Linked DNA regions of Macaca mulatta. The protein of the gene in region 1 purifies or fractionates together with the protein of each later gene. This does not show direct contact. Links are inferred from orthologs where the notes say so. Each region holds a gene or a part of one and is shown in the gene's direction. Other genes may lie near its edges.

The links. The genes of interacting proteins can lie anywhere in the genome.
Region 2: the proteins of ZRANB1 (region 1) and CTTNBP2NL purify together in Homo sapiens (affinity purification with mass spectrometry; 4 studies listed by BioGRID and IntAct, with this or other methods). This does not show direct contact. The link is inferred for Macaca mulatta from reciprocal best matches to the Homo sapiens genes ZRANB1 and CTTNBP2NL.

The regions. Positions count from the first base shown.
Region 1 is NC_133414.1:136,976,957-136,980,702, forward strand, and holds the start of ZRANB1 (ubiquitin thioesterase ZRANB1), read left to right. Parts: upstream 1-1,051; 5' UTR 1,052-1,458; intron 1,459-3,746. UniProt on the Homo sapiens protein: Ubiquitin thioesterase, which specifically hydrolyzes 'Lys-29'-linked and 'Lys-33'-linked diubiquitin. Also cleaves 'Lys-63'-linked chains, but with 40-fold less efficiency compared to 'Lys-29'-linked ones.
Region 2 is NC_133406.1:127,871,698-127,875,443, reverse strand, and holds the start of CTTNBP2NL (CTTNBP2 N-terminal-like protein), read left to right. Parts: upstream 1-998; 5' UTR 999-1,043; exon of another isoform or gene 1,044-1,356; intron 1,357-3,746. UniProt on the Homo sapiens protein: Regulates lamellipodial actin dynamics in a CTTN-dependent manner. Associates with core striatin-interacting phosphatase and kinase (STRIPAK) complex to form CTTNBP2NL-STRIPAK complexes.

The DNA.
Region 1 (3,746 bases):
GCCTCCCAAAGTGCTGGGATTACAGGCTTGAGCCACCGCGCCCGGCTGATCTTTCAAATTCTATCTTCTCCTCACAAAATTTTAAGTATGAAAACTACAAGGTAAAGTCCCACTGGGAAAAAACAAAGATCTCTTGCTAGAAAAATTTCCCATACTCATGGGGTTTTAACAAATGGCTGGCTTATTTTGGCTATTTGGTTATTTTTACAGTACAAAAAGAAAGAAATACACATATCTGTTTAGAACTTGGTCCCAGGGGATTCTCCTAAGCAGTATTTTTTCCATAGCTGTAATTTATCCTCGGCCTGAAGATAGGTAAGGCTTATTTACAGAAATAAGGCTTATTAGGAAAGGTTTATTTCTAATTTACAGAAAAGGTATCCATAAGAAGGTTGGATTTTCCCAAGACTAGCGCCAGTAAGTCGTGGAGGAGAGCAAGACGCAAGGTCTCCATTACTTTTCATGGCGTGTCTATCTACGTACGCACACATGTACCATGCACAGAGCAACGAGAAATATACACATACATCCATATACACGGATAGCCCCAGCAAAGGCAGGGGTAAAAATCGGACACTGCAAAACATAAATTTAAAAAATCAAACCATCACAAAGCACCTAGAGCTTTGTCTTCCCTGGTGTTTTATGAAGAGCTTCAAAGTCCTTAAGAAAAAGTAAAGCAGCATTTGGGTTATACGTAGATCGCTTAGGCTACGTGAGACCTGGGGGTTAACTTAAAACTCCGGCGCATGTGTCGCAGAGACGAGGCAAAGCGCGCCTCCAGACACTGACGAGGACGCCCTCCGGGCCGCCGTCAGCCCGCGCCCCCGAGCGCCACGCACCCCACGGCGGTCCGGCACCCTCAGGCCCACAGCGGTCCGCGGAAGGGAACCAGCGCGGGGCCAACGCGCGCCACCGACTCACAATCGAGGCCGCACTCCGGCTGACGTCACCCTCTTTCGACCCGCCCCCTGAGCCCGGAATGAGGCGGCCGCTCATTGGCTGCGCCGCCGGCGGCCTCGGGGCCAATGACAGGGCGGCGAGCGTCTGGGTCCGGCCTTGACGTTGTGCCGCTCGCCGCGGGGTTTATTTGGCTCCGGGTCCCTCGGCTGCCGCCATTAGGGGTCCGCAGCCCCGCGGCCGCCTCCCACACCTCACTGCCCCCGCCCCCCGGGGCTCCCCAGCCTCCGCGCCTCCTCTCCGCCCCTCTACCCCGGCCTCCGGCAGCCAGGAGCCGCGCGCGGACCCGCGGAGACCATGTCCTGACTGAGGGGAGAAGGCGGAGGCGGCAGCAGCGGGGCGGGCGGCGGCGCGGAGGGAGGCGGAGAGGGGACGGGCTCGACTCGTCGCCGCGGGCTGCGCGGGGAGTCGCCGCCGCCGCCGCCGCCGCCGCCGCCGCCAAGCGCCCGTCGGACGGGGAGGAGGAGCAGGAGCTGGAGGGGGAGCCGCCGCCGCCAGGTAACCGGGCCCTGGGGGGCGCCCCACCGCGGCCTGCCGGGTCCCTCGCTTCCAGGCGGCGCCCAGGTTGCTGGGCCTCCCGGGCTGCCCGCCCGCCCGGCACCCCGGGGGCGGCCGCGTCGCAGGCGCGGGGAGGGCAGGGGCCCGGGCCGCCGCTGTCGGCCCTTCCATCTTAGGCGCTCCGGGTGCGGGGACGGCCCAGGGGCTGTGGGAGGGCGGGTCCGCCCAGCTTGTTTACCGACCGCCGGCCGGCCGCGGCTGGACGCCGTGCGGGTCCCGCCGCCGCTCTTCCGCCAGATTTCCCCACAACTTCTTTTCCTGCCGGAGACGGGTTAGCTAGTGGGGTTTCGGTCCCATTCCGCAATAGGCCGTAAACACTTGGGTCCATCGCCACAAGTTGGTTCTGGTCTCCAAACTTGTGTTTCAGTCCCTCGGCCACTTGCTTTCCACCTCCTGCGGTGGCCTCCAGTTGCCATTTCTAGGAAAATAAAGGTGGGGGACGACGAGGCGGGTGGGGAGGAGGAGCTGGAGCTAGTGGAAAGATTCGTCTACCCCTTCTGTTCTAAGTAACGAGTGTTCAGTGCAAGGATCTGTTTCTTCTCTGCTGTGGTTTGGTGCGGGTCATTTCACAGACAAAAGAACTGTAGTGAATGCTGGCATTAAGCGCAGGGAACAGGCAGTTTAGGTTAAGCCTGGAAGTTTGAACCGGCCCATTATCTTTGAGGTACACTGGTGTTTTGAAACTCTCTTGCTGAGAATTGTGTATTTCCGTCAGTTGATTACCCTTTTCTATAACTCCGTAGACTGTCGATTTAAGCGCCGCCCCATTTTACCAGTATTTTGGTTTCACCGTGTTTATGATGATGTTAATAAATCTAATATGCAAAAATACCGTTTTAGGAACACAATTCGAGTTTTTTTTTTTTTGAGACGGAGTTTCGCGCTTGTTGCCCAAGCTGGAGTGCAGTGGCGCTATCTCGGCTCACTGCAACCTCCACCTCCTAGGTTCAAGCGATTTTCCTGCCTCAGCCTTCTGAGTAGTTGGGACTACAGGAATGCGCCACCACGCCCGGCTAATTTTGTATTGTTAGTAGAGATGGGGGTTTCTCCATGTTGGTCAGGCTGGTCTCGAACTCCCGACCTCAGGTGATCCGCCCGTCTCTCGGCCTCCCAAAGTGCTGGATTTAGGCGTGAGCCACCGCGCTTGGCCTGAGAGAAATCTTTAACTGGGACCTATTCTGTAAAGAGTGATTTCTTTACCTGTGTGTTTTAGTTAACATCACTTGTGCAGTATCCAGCAGTACCCCTGTTTTGATCAAACATGGATGACTCAGTGTACAAAACATAAACCAGGGGAAACCATAAGGAATTTTGATCTCGCCTTGTGCCAAGGCTCTTGGGAAAGTCATCTGAACTATGGGAGAAATAAAGCTGGATTTTGTCTCCTTGTTATTATTTTGAGTTAAATGAAGTAATTCTAAAAAAATTTAGAATCCTCTTGACTTTTGGCTCTAAAGGTAGGCAGGCTCTTTATACTAAAATTTCATAACATTGTTTTTATTGGGCTGTTGGGGGTTTACGAGATAGTAGGACAGTAATGACACATTTTGCTCTTTTGAGGAGGATGTTATTTGAATGTCATGAAGGATTTTATTTCTGTTGCTGTTTTAGCGCCTTTTATTAATGCCTCAGAGCATTGGGACACCCATTTATTTACTCTTGAAATGTGCTTGGGTATGATGAACTCATTCATAGTAATATATTTTAAGCTCGTGGCCTTGATCCATGTCTGTACGCTGATAGGGGTTATGGCATGTCACATTTAAAGTCTGAGGATTAACATAGTTTTGGAACTCATGATCCATTTGTACAATATTTGAGGGAAATTGCTTCATATGTGTAATTGATACAGTGAGAGCTTGTTCATGTGCTTTATAATAAATGTAAACTTTAAATGTGAATTACAGAAGTAGACCACTGACCTGGCCGGTGGCTCTTGCCTATAATCTCAGCACTTTGGGAGGCTGAGGCGGGCGGATCGCCTGAGGTCAGGAGTTCGATACTAGCCTGGGCAACATGGTGAAACCCCGTCTCTACTAAAAATATAAAAAAATTAGCTGCGCATGGTATCGTGTGCCTGTAATCCCAGCTACTCGGAAGGCTGAGGCAAGAGAATCCCTTGAACCGCGGAGGCGGAGGTTGCTGTGAGCCGAAATCGAGCCACTGCACTCCAGCCTGGGTGACTGAGCGGGACTGCATTTGAAAACAACACAAAACAAAAGTAGACC
Region 2 (3,746 bases), on another chromosome or scaffold:
GTATTTAAAATAATGTGGTTATCGTAAATGTAACCAGCTGAATCAATCTGTGAGCTGACAGCCATTCTGTGGAAATGGAATTCAGAAACTTTGACTTCAGGTAGGGATACAACTAGTTATACATCCACTCCCCTTTCTGAGTTACTCGGTCCTGCCTAAGACTTGCTGCCACCAAGATCTGCATTCCTGTGTTCACAAGGCAGACATTCCTTGCATCCTCTGTACTCTCCATTGTTTAACTTCACGGCAAACACCATTCCCCGCAATATAATGAGGCCAAGGACAGAAAAAAGTCGCCTCAGCTGGCAAGCATAGTGTGGAAAAACCTGCCACACAAATTTGCAATTATTCGACTTCTGCCTGGAAAGCAGGTCGGCTGGATTTATGTCCCCCAAAATTAGTATTCTCTTCTGTACAAACTGTGGTTGAGAGAAGGGTGATCTCCAGGTGTTTCATCTTTGCACCCTTGCTTGCAGCACCACGCCCACAGTCGCGTCCAGAAAAAAGAAAAAAAGGGGGGAGCAAGGAAGCCAGGTTTTCAACAACTAATTCATTCTAATGCAGACATCAAAGCCCACTTCATTTATTAACATTCTGGAAAAAATCCCAATCGATCAGGCCACCAGAGCCCTCCTTTCCTAAACTCCCCGTACAGTCAGGGAAAAGCACTAAGCACTAGCCACGGTCCTGCCCAGAAACCACGCAGAGGTGGAAAGTTGCAGACCAAGGGCCGGGAGGGGCACGAGCCCATCCTGAAGCCCGGGACCGAGGACGGCGCTTCCTCCCGGAAGTGACGCGAGCTCAATCCCAGCCTTGCTCTTCCCAAACAAAAGGGATCTTGGGGCCCCGGGAGGAGCCTGAATGACATTGGAGAAGCTCCGCCTCCAGCCGGCGCGGATTGGGGACAATGCTGGAGAAGCAAGGAGGCGATTGGCGCTGGTGAATGCCAATGCCCCCGCCGGGCGGCTGAGGGGGCGGGGCCTCTGCCGCTGTGGATGGGGAGTAGAGGCGGAGGGGAGCGGAGCCCGGTGCGTCGTGGAAAGGTAGGAACCACACTCCCTGGGGCTTGATGATGGCTGAGAGGCCGGGTTCTCAAGAGCAAAGCAAGTATAGGGGCACCGGTAGCTTCCCGCCGCTGTCCTAACGGCCTCTGGGCCCATCCCCTGAGGGGGCGGGGCCATCTCCTCCACCTCCCGGTATTCCCCGAGGAGGCGGCTCCTCATCCTTTGAGGGTCCTCACAGCTACTTTTTGTCCCTCGTCGATTCCCAGCTCCTCAGAAGGGGCTTCCCTCTGATACCCCTCATTCAAAGGCTCTTCCCACCCCGCACCTCAGCCTTGGAGGAGAGGACTCACAGGTACCGTACCGATTCTCTAGGCTGCCGCCCCCAACCCCGTTTTGCACCCCCGGAAGGCCAGACATCCCTCCCTACACCTGTCTCTGCTCTCCAGGGTGGGACTGGAGCTGCTTTCCTCCGTAAGATAAAATTAGTGTTTCCCAAAAAAGAGGGATGGGGCGAAGCAAAAATCAAAGACCGACCTAGACAGCCAGCTTTACCGAGGAAACGGCTTCTCCCACTTAAGTTCTTCCCATCCCCCATTCTCTGATGCTCAGTCTTCCTCCCGCCGCCCCTCACATCCTCTGGCCTCTTGTGAGGAGTCGAGAGCTCTCCTGTTTTGGGACTTCTTTGGACTCTGAAAGAGGGAGAACTAGGACCTCCTCTCCCTCGCCCTTTGTACCTTTCTTCTACTTTCTGTTCCTTCTGGGAGAACCCAGCCTCTAAGGGTTTCTTAGGTTTGAATTGCGTTTCATTTTTCCTTTTCCACCCTATTTCTTCTCTGAGAACTTGATGAAAAGCCATGTTATATTTCACAGTGAGGTGGGTGTGTTGGATATCTGCAGAGTTGGCTTTGTGTGGGCAGGAATGCAGTGTATGTTGCTTGACAGTCAATGAATAACACCATGTTTTCAAATGAAACAGTATACATAAGTAAATAAATAGCAGTGGATTAGGAATGAGTATATCCCAGTCTAGGATGGGCTGGTCCATTGCTCAGGGAGACTGCAGTTAACCTTGAAGGTATACTGCAGTTTGAAACAAAAGGCAGGAAGTGTTTGAAGAAAATTCAGGGTCAGTCATCTAGGCTTATGATTAATCTAGTCCTGTGTCCTTTGGTTACTCTCTAACCCCTTTTTTATAGTGTCTCCCCCGCCCCCAGGAAACATTCATGTATATTTTGATTGGTTTTACGATCATCTATCAAAATTTAGACGATGAAAAGTAATTTTTTAATCTCAGAGATCAAAGTAAATAAAGGCAAGGTGTTCTAGCTATTCATGTTTACCAAAAAGTGCCTCTAGTGTGCTCCTAAAGGTTTTGTCAAGTGGCCTTCATTTCAGCAGGTGCAAAGTGTTGATTTTGACCTCAAGTTAATGTCGTTGAATCCCCAGTAATCATCTATCGCTAGCACTTTTATATATTAAAATTTACCATATTTTTAGCATAGTTTTTTTTTTGCTTTCAATCTCAAGTCCACCTCCCCGCTGTCAACTATAGCCAAAGCTGATGGCAATGAAGTTCAAGGAGTTGGAATCACAGAGGGTGATTGTAATGACTGTTGTCTTTTACCTTCTTGATTAGACTTCCTGAGGGTAATTATTTTTGAATAGTTAGAATTGAAGGTTTCAGAGTGCTCACAGATCTTCTTAGTGAGCGTTTCCAAATCTCCAATAAGAAAGCACAAAGAAGAAACTGGAGGGTGTCTCTAGCAAACACAATGTGTGCTGCAATAGAAGGGTAAAACATGGGCTCCCTGCAATAACAGCAGAAAAAGCTAAAAGTAGAACAGAAAATCCCAAAAAGATAAGTTGTATTACATCAGCAGAGAACAGAAAATAAACTAAGGTAAGAGACTAAGCAAACCAAAGTTGTGGTGATTGCTGAGCTTTAATAGGAAAAAGCAAATAATGTTCTTTTATTATTTAGCACAGTAAGCAAGATCTGTTTGTTACACTTTTGGGTCTTGAAAATCTTTCCTTTAACCTTTTCAACACCTGTTTGGTCATGCCAGATGAAGAAAAGCGTACTATGCAGGGGATATATGTCTGATCTCTCTCCTTGAATTATAAATTCTTTGAGGGCAGATAGTAGTATTTTTTGTTTTTCGTCTTTGTCTCTTTCACAGTTCCTGGTATATAGTATGACTTAATGAGTGTTTGTTTAACTTAGTTTGAAGCTGTCACCTTAGGGTAGACTGAAAGGCAATGCACTGATTAGATGTGGCACAACTTGTTAGTATAAACCGTCTACTTGTTGTCTTCATTTAACTTGATTTTCCCCATCTGCTGTCTTATGAAATTCCAGTGTCTTAAGTGACTAAAATTTTGAATTTCTTATAAAGAAATATCTGTGAGGCAGGATGTGGTGGCTCATCCCTGTAATCCTAGCTACTTGGGAGGCTGAGGCAGGAGGATTGCTTGAGCCCGGGTGTTTGAGGTTACAGTGAGCTATGATCATGCCACTGCACTCTCCAGCCTGGGCAGCAGAAAGAGACCCTGTCTCTTAAAAAAAAAAAACAGTTAAAAAAAAAAAAAAAATATATATATATATATATATATATATATATATATATATATATATATATAAAATCTACTGGTTAGAAAATACTATTTTTACTGTCATGAAATTTGCACCAGACTTAAGAACATAATGAGTGCTAATCATTTCAGGATTTTATTGTTTTAAAT